Arabidopsis thaliana: one gene and its partners. The protein of the gene in region 1 interacts with the protein of each later gene in a pairwise test. Each region holds a gene or a part of one and is shown in the gene's direction. Other genes may lie near its edges.

What was found.
Region 2: the proteins of AT3G06435 (region 1) and ARL interact in a protein complementation assay, tested with the Arabidopsis thaliana proteins (one large-scale study listed by BioGRID).
Region 3: the proteins of AT3G06435 (region 1) and AT3G14860 interact in a protein complementation assay, tested with the Arabidopsis thaliana proteins (one large-scale study listed by BioGRID).

Annotation. Positions count from the first base shown.
Region 1 is NC_003074.8:1,966,506-1,973,526, reverse strand, and holds AT3G06435 (uncharacterized protein), read left to right. Parts: upstream 1-2,742; 5' UTR 2,743-2,812; coding exon of another isoform or gene 2,813-2,822; coding exon 2,823-3,425; 3' UTR 3,426-4,168; coding exon of another isoform or gene 4,169-4,186; 3' UTR 4,187-4,491; downstream 4,492-7,021. Other genes in the region: AT3G06440 (Galactosyltransferase family protein), read left to right, coding at 1-129, 210-317, 408-614; AT3G06436 (uncharacterized protein), read right to left, coding at 2,531-2,578, 2,813-2,835, 2,915-3,122, 3,164-3,187.
Region 2 is NC_003071.7:18,233,459-18,240,162, forward strand, and holds ARL (ARGOS-like protein), read left to right. Parts: upstream 1-3,330; 5' UTR 3,331-3,878; intron 3,879-3,976; 5' UTR 3,977-4,267; coding exon 4,268-4,675; 3' UTR 4,676-4,715; downstream 4,716-6,704. Other genes in the region: AT2G44090 (Ankyrin repeat family protein), read right to left, coding at 5,224-6,036, 6,107-6,539. UniProt on the Arabidopsis thaliana protein: Promotes cell expansion-dependent organ growth, probably via a brassinosteroids signaling pathway. Acts downstream of BRI1.
Region 3 is NC_003074.8:4,996,204-5,003,991, reverse strand, and holds AT3G14860 (NHL domain-containing protein), read left to right. Parts: upstream 1-2,945; 5' UTR 2,946-3,097; coding exon 3,098-3,224; intron 3,225-3,339; coding exon 3,340-3,411; intron 3,412-3,513; coding exon 3,514-3,681; intron 3,682-3,956; coding exon 3,957-4,127; intron 4,128-4,255; coding exon 4,256-4,468; intron 4,469-4,582; coding exon 4,583-4,671; intron 4,672-4,759; coding exon 4,760-5,401; 3' UTR 5,402-5,688; downstream 5,689-7,788. Other genes in the region: TBL41 (TRICHOME BIREFRINGENCE-LIKE 41), read right to left, coding at 6,381-6,681, 6,760-6,918, 7,012-7,187, 7,275-7,446.

The DNA of each region.
Region 1 (7,021 bases):
TTTGTACGGATTGATGAGCTCCTATCAAGTCTAGAAGAAAGACCGTCTAGTGCCCTTCTGTACGGTTTGATCTCATTTGATTCATCACCGGACCGTGAACAAGGCAGCAAATGGTTTATCCCTAAAGAGGTAAAACTTCTCAATATTTCTCACACCTCTGTGGGCTCTAATCCTCTTAGAGACTCATATATGGCTTTCTCTTTGTGAAGGAATGGCCTTTAGATTCATACCCTCCATGGGCACATGGCCCTGGCTACATCATCTCTCATGATATAGCGAAATTTGTGGTGAAGGGTCACCGTCAAAGAGATCTTGGAGTGAGTTTTGTAGTTTCATCACCATAGAGTTAAGATATAACGAATCCTAGATATCATAAGTGACGTTGTTCTTATGTTGTTTGTTGAAAGCTTTTCAAGCTGGAAGATGTGGCGATGGGGATATGGATTCAACAATTCAACCAGACGATAAAAAGAGTGAAGTACATCAATGACAAAAGATTTCATAACAGTGATTGTAAATCAAATTACATTCTTGTTCATTACCAAACTCCTAGACTAATTTTGTGTCTTTGGGAGAAGCTGCAAAAAGAGAACCAATCTATTTGCTGCGAATAAATCTCTCGAGCATGTACGTATGTAACTTTTCTGGTTCTGTTTCACACTTCAGGAAGAAGTTCTCCCAGTTAAAGACACACTGGCTCGAGTATGTCAGAGTATATTGGCTATTATCTGTCTTTGTAGATTCTCTCAATCAGCATATCTACAAACATATTCGAACCATAGTTTATAGGCCAGGAGCGTGTCAAAGGTGCCATTAGTGTCTTATTCATTGTCCTCGTAAACGTTGTTGCTTTTGTTGTATCGGGGCACACTTATCCGGATTTATCGATTATGCAATTGCCCTACTACATCACATTATTATTTAAATTTGTCTTCAAGTTTTTATTTCGCATAGCACATATATAAAGAAAACGCTTCGTTCAAACTCGTCTGTGAACTCCATAAAACTTATTAAAAAATCCGTCCAAAAAAATATATAGTATAGTTTGGATCGCATGAAAACATATCTAAACATAAGTCTTTGTTAGGGGTCGGATTGGGCCCTTCTCAAGTAGTTCATCAGCTCGCCCTTCTCAAGAAGCTCGTTAGCTCGCTCCACTTCGTCAAGCTCTTCAGATCGCCTTTAAGCTCTTCAAACTCGACTCGTCCTCAAGCTCCTCAGCTCGTCTTCAAGCTCTTCCCATCACTCAGCGACCATTTCCTCGCCTAGCTGTCAGCTAGTCAGCTCGTCCAACTCCTCGTCTAGCTATCAGCTCATCCCTCGTCAACTACCTGCCGACCTACCTCCAATGACGGCCTAGCTCACTTATTCTAATATGAACTACGTGTGGCTTGATCCCTTTCTAAGGGTACGTAGGCAACCTTTTACAAGGTTCAGCTATAAAACGAATAAACTCTATTCTTCCTCGGACATCAAGTTCGTCTTCCGGCCTCAAGCTCGCCTTTCATCTACAATCAGCTCGTTCTTACTCCATCTATGCTCGTTGAAGAAATCATCCTTTGTAATCCGTCCAATTCGCCTAAGTCGCAGGCTCGTCTTTAATAGAAAGATTCTTCCTTCCCTAGAGATCCCATTTTCGTACTTGTGTGATTCGTGCATCAACAGTTGGCGCGCCAGGTAGGGGGATAGCTCGAAGTGGCTTGATCCCTTTCTAAGGGTACGTAGGCAACCTTTTACAAGGTTCAGCTATAAAACGAATAAACTCTATTCTTCCTCGGACATCAAGTTCGTCTTCCGGCATCAAGCTCGCCTTTCATCTACAATCAGCTCGTTCTTACTCCATCTATGCTCGTTGAAGAAATCATCCTTTGTAATCCGTCCAATTCGCCTAAGTCGCAGGCTCGTCTTTAATAGAAAGATTCTTCCTTCCCTAGAGATCCCATTTTCGTACTTGTGTGATTCGTGCATCAACAGTTGGCGCGCCAGGTAGGGGGATAGCTCGAAGATATCTCTCAAAACTACGACCCCGCGACGAAGCAAAGTGATAACAAACAGACTACATGGAGCATTCGATACCGACTCGTCAGGCTCTGGAAGTAAAACGACAACGTCGATCCCCGGGAGAGCCAGTCACTCGACCTCTTCATTCGATATCGCAGCATGTTCTCCGACAAGAAAAGGACTTCAAGGAACTATCGACCCCATCATCCTAGGCGATGACACTTCCAGCCCGGCAGTCAGGACAATAACACTGACCAACGAGGAAGTGCCGCCGATCAAAGAGGAACATCCCATAACCTCATTAAACATACCGACCTCGTTATCACTCACGCCTAACCAAGAACAAGAGGAGAAGTCATCAGGCGGGCGTCACTTGGAGAACCTCGACGATGACACTCCCAGCTCGGCAGCTCGGACGATAACGTCAGCGCACGGGAAGACAACTCAAATAAAGGAAGAATACTACTCGGTATGTAAAAAAATTTTATTATTACTTTTTCAACCTAGTTATTTGCAGGTAAAAAAATCATTACTTTTTAAAAAGGCTAGCAGACGAATCAACACGGTATGCTATTAACTAAAACCAAAATAAAAATAAAACTTAGTGGTTTTCCAAAAATAAAAAACAGTGAGCGGATGACAGTTGTCAAAAGCAGCACATGGTTTTACTTACTTTCCCGGTTTAAAGAAAGAAGCAAACCCTAGTTTTAGAGCATCTTTCTTTCTTTCTTTCTTTTTCCCGTCGCTTTTAAAGCATCTTTCTTATCCGTCGCAGTTCATCTTCCTAACTCCATCTCTATAAAAGAAAAACCCCGGCAACAATGGCCAAAAAATCTAAGCGAAACCAAAATAATAAAGGAAAGACGAAGATTCCCCAGAGAGTTGAAGTGTTTGGTGTGAATGATCCAGTAACCAGATTTGGTTGGACTATCATGGCTTTTCTCTGCGTTTTTGGAGCTGTGGGTGCTGTGAATGCCTTGGAGATCCAGATGGATGTCTCTTATCTGGTAATGTTTGTTGTAGCTATCTATGTGATTCCAGTCTTGCATTCCATTTTCTCTGAAGCTCCATCTCCAGTTTACAGAGCACATCGATGGGTGAGAACTGTTATCCCTCTCATACTGCTTACCATAATCTACTTTACTGTCTTCAATTTCCAAACCCTTGCAGCATCTGTTTTGATCATATCAGTGGTTTTTGGAATTTTCGTGTTGGTTCAGTTGGTTTTCCCTGTAGAAAGATTTTACTTTTTTTATGTAGTGCTCATTTTGTTATTTGGATGCTGCTCAGCTGTATTTGCTGGTCAGTATGATCCCAAAACCCAGCCATTTGGGTTCTGCCTATTAACTCTCTTTGTTTTTGAAATGTTTTTCTACTTTTTCTACTATCCTGGGCCTACTAATAGGGCATTCAAATTCTATTAGATTACTCTCAAAATGATTGTCAGATCTAATTCACAAGAGACTTTTTTTGCATGTATAAATATCTGGATATTTAAGCATGACTTAGACTATCTATTTTTTTTTTTATAAATTATATTAGTTGATCTTGTTAGTTTGGTTAGGAAGGTATTAAAATATTACAAAGTGGATTTTTTTCTTAAATGACCGCTACACTGCTTATCTCGAATTTGGAATATTTCCATACTAATGTTTGGGAGTAGCCATATAGCCTATTGTTGGACTACCATCATAATATAAACTGTTAGGGTCTAATCTAGATTTTCGATATAAATGTGATATTTGTTTTAGGAAAGCTCGAACCCTTGGAGAGTGTTTTAGCACATCCCAAATCTCACTAATTACGGATAACTATGTATATATCTATTTTTAGATCTCTTATATTTGAAAACTAGCTAGATAGATTTTTTGAGACAAATCATTACCATTCAAAGCACCTCATATCTAACTAGATGAATGTGGTAGATGCAACTCTTTTTTTTTCTTTATTAGAAATTTAGGATACAGTCTTTATTAGTGAGACGCTATAACTCAACGGAATATTGTTGTGACCAACATTTACCTAATTCGTATCCTTACAATCTCAAGATGGCAGCATAGTAAACGTTGGATATATGCTTTATCTTCTTCTTTTTATATCCAAAATATATAACGTTGTTTACCGTAATGCCGTCGAAAATGAGTATCATAGGGGAACTTTTTTGTAGACGTTGACAATTCAGTAGGGACCTCAAGAATACAGAAGAAGGAACAAAATAAGGAATGCTTCTGATTCATTGTCCATTGACGAGAGAACTTATTGGCCTTTTGCATGTAAACTAATAAATACATATCTTTTTTTTTGTCTAAAAAATAAATACATATCTTAAGTGTCGTCTTTCCACTAAGCAGATTTCTCACCTGTGCAAATATTGTCCCTCTAAGAAAAACCTTTTCTTTATGTAAACATTGTCCCTAATCATGTTTTCCAATTATGTCTTGGATACTAGAAAAAATTCGAAAAGACACTCATATTTTTATATACATCCCAATATAAAAATTTTTATCCTACACTAGAAAACACATATAAAATAGAAATGGCGATGCATGTGAAGATATGATAAATTAAGTCTAGGCCTCCGTTATGACCCGAAACAAAATTTCTAAACCGACCGAGCCAGTTTTGAAAAGTATCCAACCCTATTAACTCATCATAAAAGTGTTTATTTTCTAATTTTCAGCTCAATATATGTCAATTCTTATAAAAGCCCCCAATATGAATACCAGTTAAAAAAAAAAAAATGAATACCAGTTACCACGCAGTTGCCCAACGTAAAACTACGATTTCTCTATTATAGCATTAATTATTAGTAAACAAAAATTGTGTAGACTATGATTAATTTAGGGTTTGAAAACTTACCTAAACATAAAATGAACAAGCGGATGAATTTTACAACTCCTAATACATTTGGTAATCATATTAAATTATTCTACTATATGAATTAAGCTTATTAAACTAAACAATGTCTTTATCCAAGAAGAAATTAAGTACTGATGATGCTGACCGGATGTCAAAAGAAAAAAAAAGTATTGACCAAAAAGTCCAAAAAAAATTGTTGCCGTTGGGGAAGAATCGCGACCTTCAATCCCGTCGCTGTCATCTTCTTTATATTCTTATTTTTTTATTTTTTATTTTTTACAGAAATCATCTTACTTTATATAAAAGACAAAATACATGCGCTTTTAGGGTTGTTTTATTGTTTACTGAAGGAGTAAATAAGTAAATGTTTATCTACAGAAAAAAAATTAAGATTACCACATCAAATTGTGTTACTTAGTACTATTAATATAAAATTTTAAAAAGGAAAATGATTACCACTACTCATTATTGGAATACCCTGGATACTTATTAGGTTTTTTCATTATTTGTTTAAAGTAAATTTTTTTGTCTGATTTTTTTTCTTTCTAAACTATAAAAATTCAAATAATTCGGGTCAATTCTGAAATTACAAAATACAAATTATGCATAAATACATGTAAACAAAAACATCATTTGTATGCTTCAATACGAACCTTATGAAAAAAAATCCATTGGTATAACTAATTAAATTAAAGTTTCACACAAATACAACTGAAAAAAAAAGAGAGGGACGAATGCACGTGCATAAACGACAAACAATGAATGAAAATGGTAAAAAAGATTTTATTTTTCTTATAAAACAACCCACGGTGCCACTCCTATTTCCTCTCGCTCTTCTTTCTCCACCATTTTCAGATCCATTTCTAAGCTTCTTCCTTTCCCTTTCCCTTTCTACATTGTCAATGGTTAATTTTGGGGATTTTGTTTTCGGGGTTTATCACTTTGTTTACCAGTTTGTTCTCCATCCCATTTACCAGTATGTTATGCGTCCTATCTTCCTCTTTGTTTACCAGTTTGTTCTCCATCCCATTTACCAGTATCTTATGCGTCCTATCTTCCTCTTTATATTGAGACCTATTTACTTGGGTATCAATAGGGTTTTGGGAGGGATCTCGTGGTTGTATGGGTTTAGATACACTCTGATGGTGCAAGGTATACTTTGTTACTGGAGAACGTTTCTATACTTTGAGAGATCAAGTTTGTGGGAAAAGTTTGTAGAGAAACATGAGAGAAATCACGAAAAATCTTATTTAATCCCACTTTTGTGGACTATGAATGGGGTTTTCCTTATCTTTATCATCCTTCTGGTTTTTGCTGCAACTCTTGCGGGAGAAGCCAATATGAGGAAAGTTTTTAATATTCAAGGACAGATTGGAGTTAACTTTTATTGTCTAGGTAAGAGTACCGGGGAAGTATCAATTTTAAGGTTAATGGTTTATATAAGTGACCATGTTGCAGATAACGTCGACAGCAAGCGGTGAATAAAATGTTCTTTAGCAATATCATACCCCAACATATGAAGATCCCAAGTACTCTACAATGATAGGCTTCACAATAATGGGTGAATATAGATAAGGCTACAGAAGCTATCCCATCTATGAACCCTAAATCATTCCCCACATAGCAAAGTTTCATAAGACTAACAACGCTTAGATAACTACACACAAAGCATGAAGCAACATTCATTTCAGCTACCGATTTATCTGCAACAGGATCACTTATATAAACCATTAACCTTAAAACTGATACTTCCCCGGTACTCTTACCTAGACAATAAAAGTTAACTCCAATCTGTCCTTGAATATTAAAAACTTTCCTCATATTGGCTTCTACCGCAAGAGTTGCAGCCAAAACCAGAAGGATGATAAAGATAAGGAAAACCCCATTCATAGTCCACAAAAGTGGGATTAAATAAGATTTTTCGTGATTTCTCTCATGTTTCTCTACAAACTTTTCCCACAAACTTGATCGCTCAAAGTATAGAAACGCTCTCCAGTAACAAAGTATACCTTGCACCATCAGAGTGTATCTAAACCCATACAACCACGAGATCCCTCCCAAAACCCTATTGATTCCCAAGTAAATAGGTCTCAATATAAAGAGGAAGATAGGACGCATAACATACTGGTAAATGGGATGGAGAACAAACTGGTAAACAAAG
Region 2 (6,704 bases), on another chromosome or scaffold:
TTTGGTACATAACCAACGAAAAAAGAAACAAGTGACGTACAAAACACAAGAAGAAAATGAAATTATCTTAATTGATTCTGACCTAAAGAATTTAACATTTTCTCTTTCAAATCTTTTGTAGCAAGGGAGGTGAAACGAAAACGAATCATTAAGATACGTGCAATGAATCCAATAACCTCTATGACTAGCAGATGCATGAATTTTATTTTTGTGTTTCTGTTATGCATCTTTTTAGTTGCTTTTTAAGTCTGGTCATATCTTCGCTCAGACTTCACTGATGCAAAGCTGGATACAAAATCGACAAAAGTATATGTCCCCATATATTCCTATCTTTATACTGAAGAAAATATATACTTTAGCTTTATCTATCGCACTACTTTAGTCTTTAGAGTTGATTTATCAATTAGTTCCTAAATCAACTAATGCACATGATTTAATGTAATTAATTGTCTCTTAATTGTACGGATTAGGTGATGAAGATCCACCGTCCACCATGGCTGTAGTACCTAATTAATACCGTGTAAACTTTAAACCACGGGTATTACTTATGATTGTTATTAGAAAATAACATTAGCTTACCTCAAAAAAAATGAGGAATTTGTTTTTGATTTCTAGCAAAAAAAAAATGAAACCAAAAATGATTAGACGACTCTTTTGTTTGTAGACACAATAAATAATATAGAATTTTTGTAAGAAATTAATAGTTTAGAACAATATGCGTGTATTCAAAAAGAATATAATTAAGAATATTTGAAATGATTAAATACCAATATTATTATATTAGTTTATATTTTTAAATCAAATTACTCAATTACAAAAATAATACATTAGAAAATGATTAATTATATTTTTCTAAAGTGTTATAAAGACACCATTTCCTAACGGTATTGATTTTAGATAATAGAAAACAATAATTTGTGAGGAGAAAGTATTTAAAAGAAAACAGAAAAAGAAAATGTATAACGTAGAAGAAAGGTGGCTTTAGATTGGAGAGTTGTACGAGGAATATTAATAAGTCAAGTTGGTCGAGATATGCATTGAATCGATGGGAACGAGCCACGTGACAACGACATGTGCCGTTTCATCCACATTACATACCTTTTGAAATTATTGCTTATTTAATTCTTCTATCAACATTTTTTTTGCTTATACTTATTTTCTTCAATATATCTCATACCACTAACAATTAATAAAGGCTAATCTTAATAGAGAAATAGAATCATTCGTTTTAATAAACTCAAGTATATGTGATGAAACTGTGGGCATATCATATAAACTTGTTATTGAGCATAATAATTCATCTTATTATGTCCTACTATGCATTATGCAATGTATATAATATGAATTTTTTGTTGAATATTGTTGCAGGTCCACTATGTTCCACTAGACATGCAATCTAAGGGAGGGTTTGCGATGTTCAAGGCAATCATGCATGGGTTGCCATTTCTATATAGCTTTCCCTTTCTACAATTTTTTTCTTTCTAATTTTCTAAAAATTAAATATACACACACTATGGATGATGGATTAACCAATAGAATCCAAGGAATTACGAGTAAAAAAAACACCCTCCTATAGTTCACCTATATCTTATATCTTTCTTGGTTTTGGCTACGAATTGAAATCTTTTTCTGATTTGGATAAGAGATTGCGCTCTCTGTATACGTTCTTATATATATCACTATAATCAAATATGGGTTTTCTATAAATCTGTAAGGCATTATAAACATATGTATCAATATATTCTTAACTGACATTTAGATTGGTATAAGCAATGTTATTTACCTACATATTATCTATTTGTTTACATAGGAACTGGTGGCATCGATCCTAACCATAAGATCATGAATACAAAAAATCAAAGATATCGAATCAAGTACATATCCACAAGATAATTTGAATATCTTTTAAGATCGGGAAGATATCACTATGGTGTATATGCTATTTATATAACTGATCAGTTATATATAGTTGTTAAACTTTGTTCTAACAATTTAAAAGTCTGCATCATCTTTTTATTGACGTTAATTAAGTTTTGTTTTTGTTTAAAGCGGGAGGTGAAGTTTTGTTGTAATTATGTCTACTTGAGCCATTATAATTGTAGAATAGTAATGTCATTTCCATTGGGAGTTTAGCTAGTAGTTGACGAATAAAACCATTTCTCCTTTGTAAAAAAAAGTAGAAAAGACGTAATCAATAGATGTTATACATGCGATTCATTGAATTTGGATAAATAAGTATTTTGGATTGAAAAAAAAATAAAAAATGAGTAGTGGATTTTGGTAAGCTGTCAATTGGTTAATACCAGAACGGCTGAAACTAAACTGCTTGCGAAAATTATCATGTCCCTCTTAATTAAACACCCAACGAAAAGTACTTATGAATATATCCATTAGATATTTTAATTATTACATTTTTAGGCTGTTAAACAAATAAATTATATCGGTTTACCTGAAAGATAATGAATGAAAAAAAAAAAATCTTAATATATTATTTTATGTGTTTTTAAAAATAATAAGCTGTCTTGTATTTTTAACAAATAGCATTTTTAATATAGTACGATATTTAATACTATATCACTTTTTTGTTTAAATCATACTAAACAACACCTAGCCCTTTTTAAAATAAATAATAATAATAATAATAAGACCACTTATGTATCCTTTATGTATCATGTAAAATACAAAATTCCCTAATTATATAAATTTAAGTTGGCATTTCTTCTGACTATTAAAAGCATAAAACGAAAGAGAAATAAATATTGGACCAACTGTCCCACTAAAAACGATAATATGATATAGCCACCACATGAAATGCCGAGAGGAATAACAATATGGGTCATCATCGGTCGATAACACATAGACAACATTATTATTAGGTTGGAAAATTTAATTAATTCACACACATATACATATACATATTATACAGTTCTATGACAAAAAAAAAGTGATAAATGTTGAATATATTTGTCAAACTAATTTGGTAATTCACCGAATTCAATCTATTGATTATTGCTATCACTTCTCATATTCAATTTTTTGTGCGCGAGGAATTCGAATCTTTAATTAGTACGTTTCCCCGTCCATAGTTTCAATAGATTACAACTCTAAATGATTATATAAAACAAACAAAACATTATCATATAGAACAAAGATTATTTGTGATAACCTAAAATATTTATCTTATCTTTAATTATTTGTTTCTAGTATTATTAATGACTGATACTGCTTTATTTATTTCAACCAAACAACTTTGACTATAGTCTACAATAATACACGATCAACGTTATAAAAGTTTGGATTCGTTTTAATTAAAAACCACCATTGAATATTCCAAAAGAAACTGAAACCTCCATCTCAAACAGAGGCTTACCCCAAATAAATTCCATCCCACGTCATCATCAGAGAAAGTGTCTAGGGGAGAAGAACCACTGTGATTGTGGAAAGAGAGAGAGAAGTGTAAAGTAATCAAATAGAGAGATTTCAATTTTGTTCAGACCTTCCAGAATAAGCAGCAACTTGCCTCTCACACTTGTCACCCCCAAAAGAGAAAAAAAACATTAAAATTAAAATCTTATCATTTTAGAAAAATCTGTAAATTCAGTGAACCTTCCTCTGTTTCCTGTTTCTTCTCTGATTCCACAGTCTTAACCCCAAAAACATTATATTTATTTCTCTCATTATCTTTTACCATCTATTTTTATACCAATTCCTTTTATCAAAACCACTCCCACTTTATTTCTTCTTCTCTGGTTTTCTTACCAAAAGAAACTTTCTTCGTCTTCCTCTGTATTTAAGCTTTAACACCCTGTTTTTGGTTTCCAACGTTCAATCTTCATCTTCTTCTCGCTGAAGGTGTGTTTGGCTCTAACGGTTTAAAGGTACTTACTTTCGATTCTTTTGATTCATTCTCTGCTCATGTTTTTGATTGAATCACAACGATTTACTGATCAAAACTTGGACAAATTTTCTCTTGCAGCTTTCTTGAAACACCAATTGAATCTTTTCTCTCTACCGGCAAAAAAAAAAGATTAGTCCTTTTAGGTCTGGAAACGCCAAGATCACTCGTTCTAAACCTTAGATTTTGTCTGCATTTCGGGATAATCATTTCATCGTCAGGGTTCTTCAACCAAACTACATTTACAGAAGAAGAAGAAGAAGAAAAGTTCGTTACTTTTTATGCGTTTGGATAAACAAACTCAAGTTTCTTCTTCATACATCGATCTGATTTTCCAGATCAAACTTCGAAAAGAGAAAAAGCCTTCTTTAAATGATTCGTGAGTTCTCCAGTCTACAAAACGACATCATAAACATTCAAGAACATTATTCTCTCAACAACAACATGGACGTGAGAGGAGATCATAACCGGAAAAACACGAGTTTTCGTGGTTCAGCTCCAGCTCCGATTATGGGGAAGCAAGAATTGTTTCGGACATTGTCGTCGCAGAACAGTCCAAGGAGGCTAATATCAGCGAGTTACTTCAGTTTAGAATCAATGGTTGTGCTTGTTGGTCTCACAGCATCTCTCTTGATCTTACCGTTGATTCTTCCACCATTGCCTCCTCCTCCTTTTATGCTGCTTTTGATTCCTATTGGGATTATGGTTTTGCTTATGGTTCTTGCTTTCATGCCTTCTTCTAATTCCAAACATGTTTCTTCTTCTTCCACTTTTATGTAATAAACGTTTCTTTAATTGAAGAAAGAAATCCTTAAACAAAGGGAGGTTTTGTCTATTGTCATTACATAAGGTTTCAGGGTAAGAGATTAATATTTCATTTGTAAAACTTGTTTTCTTGATGCAGAATTATACAACTATTTATATAAATAAAGAATGATTAATAGTTTCATGATTTCATTTTTCTCATGGTCTGAAGCAAAACCAGGATGAGAGATTGGTACAAAATGTAAGAAATTGAAAGGCTTTCATTACAGGAGAGGAGACCAATAAGAGTCTGAGACAGAAGAAGTGAAATAATATGTAGATGAAATAATATAAAAGGCTTTGATTATCTCTCCCATGGTTTAGGATGCATAAAAGACAGATAGAGAGACTTTTGACAAAGACATTCTCATAGCAAGTTTGTACAAGTCTACAAGAACCCTTTTTCATCATCTCACAACCTGGATCAGAATCCATAACTATAGTGGAATGGTTGTTTTTCAGTTCTTATTTTATCAACTATTTAAAACGAGTTGTGTTAACTCAGATGCTGAATCCATTGTTGCTCAGTGTAAAGAAGCTTTGACCAAAAAAAGAGGAAGGTGATGCTCCAAGATGGTCATGAGCTGATGATGACCTTTCTTTACTTCTTCTGTGTCTACATCGAAGCCTTCAAGCTGTGTTGCAGCTTCCACGAGCTGTCCTCTTAGCTTTTGTGAGAGCAGCCGGCCACCCGCATCCACACACTCTCTGTACAGTGGCATGTAGGCGATTGCCACTCTCAATGGTGCTGGGAGATCCTTTAGACTTATTGCAGACTCTCCGAGTTTCAAAACTCTCATGAAATTCATGTAATTTTCCCGGCTTTCCTTCAATCCTTGGTTGAATGCAGCTTCTGACCACTGTTCTTGGAGAAACGATTTGAGGTCGGAAGGAACAGACTCGTCTTCTGACTTTGCAATGGTGTCTGCAACTGAATATGTGGCTGCTGGATCCCCGAGGAAATCTGATTTAAGGAGAAACTCTACTCCGTGGAGGGAACCACCACTTCTTTCACCGGCTGCTTTGAGGATTTCAATGCTGAGAGCAGTAAGGACGGGTCTTGGAACATGAGGAAGGAGATAAGCAGCAACCTCAACCTGGCTGCTTGAAGTGGCGGCTGTGAGAGCTAAGCATAGCTCCATTTCACGACAGCCTCGTTTCACAAACCATTGAACAACTTGCATGCAACCTCTCTCCGCTGCTCTCATCAAGGGACCCAAGAAAGCAATTGCATGACCTTCTTCTACAAGGCAATCCATCGTTTCGATTTTACTATAATGCGAGGCAAAACCAAGGGCTAAGTCAACATCCACGTCTAAGCTATTCCTTTGAGCAATCTGCACCAGGAAAAAGTTCAGTTAGATTGCACAAAGTAACTTGCAAGCAGTCATTAAGAATTAGATTTACCTGCAACAAGATGCGCACAAGTTCTGTGCTCCCAAAACGAGAAGCTTCAAGGAAGCACTGATTTACATTATCTGCGCCTCCTTCCACCAGCATACCGAGCAATCCATGTATGACAGTAGCTGAAATTCCAGAAGCCCAGCCAGGATTAAACGAGGTAGAGAACAGCGTAAGCGGGAAGCAAGCTGCATCAAAGGCTTCTGTGAAATCCTTTCCTGATAGATGGTTTCCTGCAAGATCTAAGAACATCTTGAAAGCAGAAAGCTGGAGTTGGATCTCAGCAGCTGAGTCTTGGTTAGCTTTATCTCTAGGGCCCTGGCATCGGGAGTGAAAACCTATACATTTGAGTGCCCATTCAGTAAACTTTTGAACTTTAGCACCAGCTTCTGCTTTGAGGACCTCATCACCGTTACACTCTTGGAGACGCTCGTGCAACCTGGAAACGCCGAGATGGGAAAAAATGGATTTATATAGAAAGGGTATCTCACCCTTCCCAGCTAACCAAAGATAAACCAGGAGGAATAAGAACATAAGAGATACTATAGATTTAACAAAAAGCGATTTCTAAGAAAAGTTAACAACACTAAAACACTTGCAGATG
Region 3 (7,788 bases), 3.0 Mb from region 1:
GATGAAGAGCAGACAAGAAGCTTGAAGAGATTGTTTCACAAATGGTTCGCACTACACTTTTGGTCACAAAGGAAAGGAGGGAGATGTTTGCAATAAATATATATACACACAGAGAGAAAGAGAGACATACATGCTTAGATTATCTAGTGGATACAGCTTAAAGATTCAGCCAGAGTTGTGGGGACAATGTGGTTCATATATAAATGAAAAAAATGTTTTAATTTACAAGGAATAAACAATCAAGAAATGTCCAAGGAAGAAGAATAAACAACTTGCGTGTGTAGTACCATTTCTTTTCATGAACCGATCAACTTTTTTGCTTTCTTATTAATGTTCTGAAATCTTTTGCTATATATGTGTGTGGGGCTATTTAGTCAAATTGTGCTGCTATAGAATCAAACAAAAGTGAGAAAACAACATATAATAAAAATAACACCCAAATGGGTTTATCTGCAGAACACATGACACATGCAAATAATTCAACACCCCTCGTTCTTATTTTCTATTCAACTTTTTTCTGAAAAGGAACAGTCAAGAAAAAAGTGCGAAAGTGAATACAAAAAGAACTAATGAGTTTAAATACATATATATACTCAAAGTTGTTCATAAGTTTACAATTATGGGACACTGATAAAAGGATTAGAGTATTCAGGATTCATAATTGCTACAAACCAAATCAGTTAAACTAGAATCCAAGAACATAAAAGTGCCCCCACACACAAATACACACATGTCTCTATGTATATGATTCTCTTAAATGGTCATTTGATTCCACTCATTTGAAAAAAAAGTAAGACAGCCTCAAAGCCAAATATAGCTACCTAACATTTAGTACAGTCACAAGCTACTCACAAAACAACCATATTTCTCTATTTCACTAGAGCTTAGACCATAAAGCACACGGATTAAAGGAAAACTAATGAGAAGAGTTATGTTAAAGAGTGATAATAAACTCAGCAACATAACCAGTATTACTCCAGAAGGTCTAAATTAATATGGTTCTCAGGGTTTAATACAACTTTAGAAGCAAAGTTCATTTAAAAAGATTGTATTGAATTTACCTTCCAACAGTTCCAAGGTCTCTATCTTATCTATGTTTTGTTTGTTGTTCTCACTTCATCGTAGAGTGAATTTGAAGAAGCAAACTGGCGAAATGACAAACCAACCTCTGCTTAAACCCTGCAGATCAAATCAATCATATGAAATTATAAATCACTACCTACCAAAGGAAAAAGGATAAACACAGAACCAATATGAGACTAATATTCAAGCTGATGTGAATGCTTGACCATGGCATTATTGGTATGAATGATGGGATTGTAAGAGCATTCACAAGTCACAATGATATATTCATTTGATTGAAAATGAGAATATAAGAAACTGCAGAATAACAATGAAGACGAAATCATTCAGAAGAACAAAAGATGATAATTAATAAATATTGATTAGCTAACCAACCTGATCGATGTAAAAACACTCTCCCGGGCAAACCTCTCGGCGTTTTGCCTCTAAATTGATTCTTAACGACAATAAAATGGGTAACATACAAAAGATACAGATTCCTTCACGGTTTCAAGACAAGTCCGGAGCTCGAGAATGAGAAGAGGGGAAAAAGGCTTTAGAGTGACTGAGAGAGAGAGTCGTAGGAGAGGAGAAGAGAGTAATAAATGACAGAGAAGGGTGAGCCTAGGGAAGTTCAAAGGACATAGATTTACGTAAATACCCTCATGGTAAAGGGACATTTACACCGACATTGCTACTTTACTCCAAGAAACGTCGAAAAGGAAGTAGGGGTGTTCTCGGTATGTCAGGGAATAAGATGTTCAGACAGAACGCAAAATCACACGGTTTGGGTTGGGAATGAAACTACTTGGAAGCTGTTATTGCGTACGTACGCGAAGACCGGTCCGTCCGGTATGAGTGAGATAGATGAAAGACACGTGGCAAATTAAAAAAAAAGTGTAACCATTTCCCACATTCTCCTGAAAACGCTTTCTATTTGTTAACCCTTCTTTAGTTCCGTATTTAACTGCCTTGATGTTTATTTAATCAAACGAGAATTATGTAAGTTCATTCTCTATAAGTTCTTTTGTTTTTAAATAAGACTCTTAAATGTTGAACAAAAATAAAATAAGACTCTTAAATTATTTGTCAAGTTGCATAAAAGACAGCTGAATAGCAGTATTAGCTTTCACTAAATACGTGAAGCAACTCAATAAGTACAGTTGTCCTATCGATGAAAGCAAAATCAAGATTGAAAATTGCTAAGTCCAAAGTTTGAATCATCTTATAAGCAATAAGTAAACCAAATTAGTCTTGGTGGGCTTTAAATGCAAACTTTATAAATATAGAAATCGTGAGAATACATCATTCCAGTTATATTTGTACGAGTTATGAATACAATGCACTGATGCAGTGATGGAGTGGCATATGCATGTAATTTTATCAGTTAGTACAAAGTGAGTTAATTGTCCGTGTTTAACGGAAAGTAAAAAGCTTGAGAGACAATTCGATTTCAATTTCAAACCAAGAATTGAGAGCTATGAGCCTATGAGAGTATGGATTTGATAAAAAGGATTTTCTCTATTCACGACTATTCTTGATTTTTTTATTATGTATTAACGACTATTCACATACTATAAAGTTGCATATAATTTATTTACCTTATTTTGAAACAGACAAGAAAAAGGTATTGATGCGATTGGACATGTCGTAGAAGTGCTTCTGATCTGATCGGCTTTTTTTTTTTTGTTTCTTTACTTTAGTTTTGTCTTTTAGTATTCAAGACTTCTAGTGGCCCAGTGGCAGTGAGTATAAAGGATTTAGCACTCACTAAATGGGCGTATTGAAAGGTAAGAACCTTAATGGGCCTATTATAAGGCCCATAAAAAACACGAGTAACCCAATAAGGTAACTTTATGTTCGTTACACAATTTCTTTTCTTACTTTCAAAAAAGAAAAGAAAAAAATCTGTTGTCATCTGCAAATTGGTTTCATTCTATCAGTTGGTGTTGTGGTGTGTTGGAAGATGTGAATCGCCTCTACTAGGGTTCGATTCCAACATAAAATTGTACTTTTGGAAGATACAGAGAAAGAGATGGGCAAATCTCAGATTCTTCTAAACGCTGAGAGCTTTACTTGTTCTTCTTTCAATACTTTCTTCACTTTATGGATCTTCTTTACTCTTCACTCCTTTCCATTTCAAGCTCAAGCTGCTCCTTCTGGTAACTTTACCATACTTAACTTCGTTGCTTTGATCTATCTGCTTCACTCACTTTCTTAGTGAATTCACTCTTCAATTTCTGGTTTTTTATGTCAATTGTTGTAAATTGAATTTAGGTTCCTTGATTAAGCACATGTCATCGGTTCTCAAGTGGACTACTGGATCATCCTCTAAATTATCCCAATCAGGTAAATTCTCAATTAGTACGACTGAATTTGGTCGCCTTGATTGTTTGTTGTTCATAAACTTGGTTTTGATGTTTCTTTCTCTAACTGCTACTTGTGGTGCAGACACTAATGTTCTTCAGTTTGAGAATGGTTACTTGGTCGAAACTGTTGTGGAAGGAAACGATATTGGTGTTGTTCCTTACAAGATTCGAGTTTCTGATGATGGAGAACTTTATGCTGTTGATGAACTTAATAGCAACATCATGAAAATCACTCCTCCCTTGTCTCAGTGTAAAACTTCGTTCTCCACAAGTTCTCTTCTTTATGACTTAGTTTTTGCAGTTTTAAGTACATCCAATCATATACACATGCCATCGCAGATTATACTTGATACACTAACGATACTACTGTGATCTTTTGATGATCTTGGCTTGTAGCATTACATTTTCTATTTTACTTCAATATTCTGGTTCTTTATACTATATATGAAACATTTGATTTTCTCTTTCTTTTTTAGTGTTGGAGGTTTTTATGACTTTGTTTATAATCTATGTACTTGTGGGCAGACAGCAGGGGAAGATTGGTGGCTGGATCTTTTCAAGGAAAAACAGGGCATGCAGATGGAAAACCGAGTGAGGCTCGTTTTAACCATCCGAGAGGCGTTACAATGGATGACAAAGGGAACGTTTATGTCGCTGATACTTTGAATCTCGCCATCCGAAAGATTGGTGATTCAGGTATACAAGTTTTCTATAGGTTTTACTTACATCAGCACTCAAAAACTGAAATGGTTGCTTGTTGTTGAAAAATATAATTAAACTGAGAAGAATTGTGTTCTTAAGAGTCTGAAACATTTTTGTTACAGGTGTTACTACGATAGCTGGGGGAAAATCAAATATAGCTGGGTATAGAGATGGGCCAAGTGAGGATGCAAAGTTCTCAAATGATTTTGATGTCGTATATGTTCGGCCTACCTGCTCGTTGCTGGTCATCGATAGAGGAAATGCGGCTCTTCGCCAAATCTCTCTCAGTGAAGAGGACTGTGACTATCAAGATGATAGCTCAATCTCTCTAACTGGTAAGAAGTCAAAAACACCTCTTCCCACTACATAGATCATTTTGCATACACTCTGTTTAGGGGTGGATTTGAGAGTGTTAACAGAAGATCATTGCGTGCTTACATTCGGTGCAGATATACTCTTGGTTATTGGTGCTGTTCTCATTGGTTATGCTACTTGTATGCTCCAGCAGGGCTTTGGAAATTCTTTCTTCTCAAAGACGGTAAATTTCTATCTCTTCTCTTTCGTGCCTTTTCGCTTCTCATCAACCATATGCTACAAACAACAACAATTTCTGTTTTATCTTACAGCAGGTAGGATCAGAAACCAGCTATGAAGAAGAGCATCCAGGAAAAGAGAAACTCTCCCGGCCTGTCCATGAGAAAACAATAACCAAGGAAGAACCTGGTTGGCCATCATTTGGGCAACTCCTTACTGATCTCTGCAAACTTGCTCTCGAGTTTATAACCAGCCACCTAGTTCCAGCCCGATTCCAAACCAACCCCAATCTAAGGCCATTAAAAGATAGACTCATAATGCCTGAAGACGAACAAGAACCACCTCGAGTCCAAAGGCATACTGCCCCAGCACCAATCTCAGAATCCCGACATGCTCACTTACCTAAAGCTGATGATAGTTACCCTGAACATAAGACGCCAAAGCTAAGATCAAGTAGTGTAATGAAGGACCCTACTTTGTCATCATCCAAGCACCATCGGACATCATCAAAACGGCAGGACTATGCTCAGTTCTATGCCTCGGGAGAGGTTGCCCAACCGAAGATCCATAAAGAGCGGTCAAGGCGTCGTCATAGAGATAAAACAACCGAGACAGAACCAAAGCCAACACCATCAGATACGGTGAAGCCTGTGGAGTACAGTAATAGTTCAAAGTTTGATCATTACAACATGAGGAGCAGCAAGTATGGACCTGAAACTCCATTTCGATTCTAGAAAGTAAAATCACATACTCATTAGAACCCTTTTCTGAGTATGTTGTGCCCTTTCTTTTGTCCTTGGTTTGAGGAGATTCCTTATGTTTTCTTTTTGTTAGTTACTAAGAAAATCTTATTACACAGATGATGAAAAAGAGGTTAAAGGCTTTTCTTGTAACGAAGGATTGATGAATCATGACTGAAAATCTGATGTATTATGAACTTATACGATCACAAGAACAGGCTCTTCGTTACTAACTTGCTATTAACACATTCTTGCTTGCTATATATAGATCTTTGGCTGCTAGAGATAGGTTCCTTGCTAACCATGGTCCTAAGAAAGTATATATAATTGTAAAGAATCTTAGTCAAAAAAAAAAAAAGGAAAAAAAAATGAAGGGCCCTACCGGGTTCGAACCGGTGACCTCTTGATCTGCAGTCAAATGCTCTACCACTGAGCTAAGGACCCTTTTGTTCAACTCATGATACATTCATTACAAAAATATTAGGTGCTCATGATAGAACAGAGTAAAATCTATGTGTTTGGCATGGAGATAAAGAGAGTACGAATACGAATATGATTTTTTAAGATCGAATTTGATAATAACTTGACTTCATTCATACGAATATGATTTTTTAAGATCGAATTTGATAATAACTTGACTTCATTCAGTTCCATTTTTATAGAATTATTGTAGAGATTTGGTTGAAACTTTAATAATTGGAATGTGCTTTGTTGACAAACTATCGATCAGTTGAAAAACGACCTTACTAAATGAATTAGCTATAGAAGTTTTGATCTATACAGTTTCATATTGTGTTCACTTACACTACACGGAGGTAGGGTTTAGATTAATTATTTTTCTTGATCATTCGATTTCTTTAATTCTAATAACCTATGTATGATTACAAAATTCAGAAACGGACCTTTTATTCAGATTTAAATGATCAATCACAATAACAAATGCTATAATTGATGTTTCCGTATTTTATTTCTTTTACTCAACCATATAATTGTAAAGAATCTCATTCCAAGTATCCGGTACCCCAGAGAGACACCAGTGGCTGCAGTCACCGGAGGAGTTTCGCCCGCCTAGACCGTAAACCGAAGGATGAGCATCTTTGCGAAGCAACGAAAGCATCGTAATGTCTAGCAATGTCACCGGTTTCGATATTTTCCCGAGTGCTCTCTTCAAAACTCCCACTTCTGCTGGCAATCCTCCTGGATATTTTGTCCCCAAAAGTGGTTCCTTCTGTCCCACGCAACTCTTTGCCGCTGGTTCGCCCCACAGAACTCCTCTGGTAAACAACAAAGCCAACTTTTTAAATACAAGTTTCTTTAGTTGATCATCTTTTTAATCAACAAAATCAACTTACTTGTAATGAGATGGAGAAATTCCTTGAAAAAAGACTCTAGTTTTCTTAGTATTTAAGACGGTATCGACCCATTTCCCCCAAGTCCCAAGCGCAATTTCAAACGCGGCCACACGGTCCATGTCTTTTGTAACGTTAGTCCCTATTTGAATCAAATCCCATCTGCCAAAATTAACAAAACAAATCCAAACTTTGAACATTGCATGTAATTAAGCCAAAAACAAAGCATATTAATTCAGAGTTACTTGAACGTACGGTTGTGCAGGACCTCTCCGACTCCACCAATGCCAAGTATTAAAAATCAATGTATCCATCTCTACCCAATTTTTTCCATCATTGATCGAATCAAGCTTCAAAACTCTCCCAATCTTCTCCCTAACTATATCTACTAGATAAACATTCCTATCAAGCTTCAATTCCAGTCCATACTCCTGCAATTTTCACCACTCCGGTTTAGTTCATCCCGGTTTTCTATTCAACTTGACCAAAACAAGTGTAGATTTGGTAATAACAACTACCTTGAATGTGTAGGTTGATATACTACCTTGTGTGGTTAAAGTATACGTAGAATTTGGAACAGAGGAATGAAGCATACATGCCAACGATTGCCATTGATTTAGACTAAGAGAATCACCAACAAACATAATCTTCTTCCCTTTGTTTTTCTTCAAAAACTGCAATCCATTGAACCTAGAACAAACAATATAAACGGTGGCGTTTTATGTCGGTGGCATGCATTGAAATTAACTTAAGAAACAGGAGGACAGAACCGTCGAAAGATTTGAGTTACTGTCCCCACAAGTGTGGGGGAATTTATGTCTTCTTATGAGGAAGAGTTTGGTGGCTGTCCTAATCTCAATGGCGGCGCGTGTAACTCACGCCGGATCCACCACTTGGCATATATTGTGACAAAAAAAGTTCGTTTTCATCTCGTGCAATTTTGGAGATTCTAAACACCATTCAATTATAGCAAACAACTATATAAATAGCATTCTCTTTTCTCATTGGTTGCTCACTCAAAAGTGCTTTATT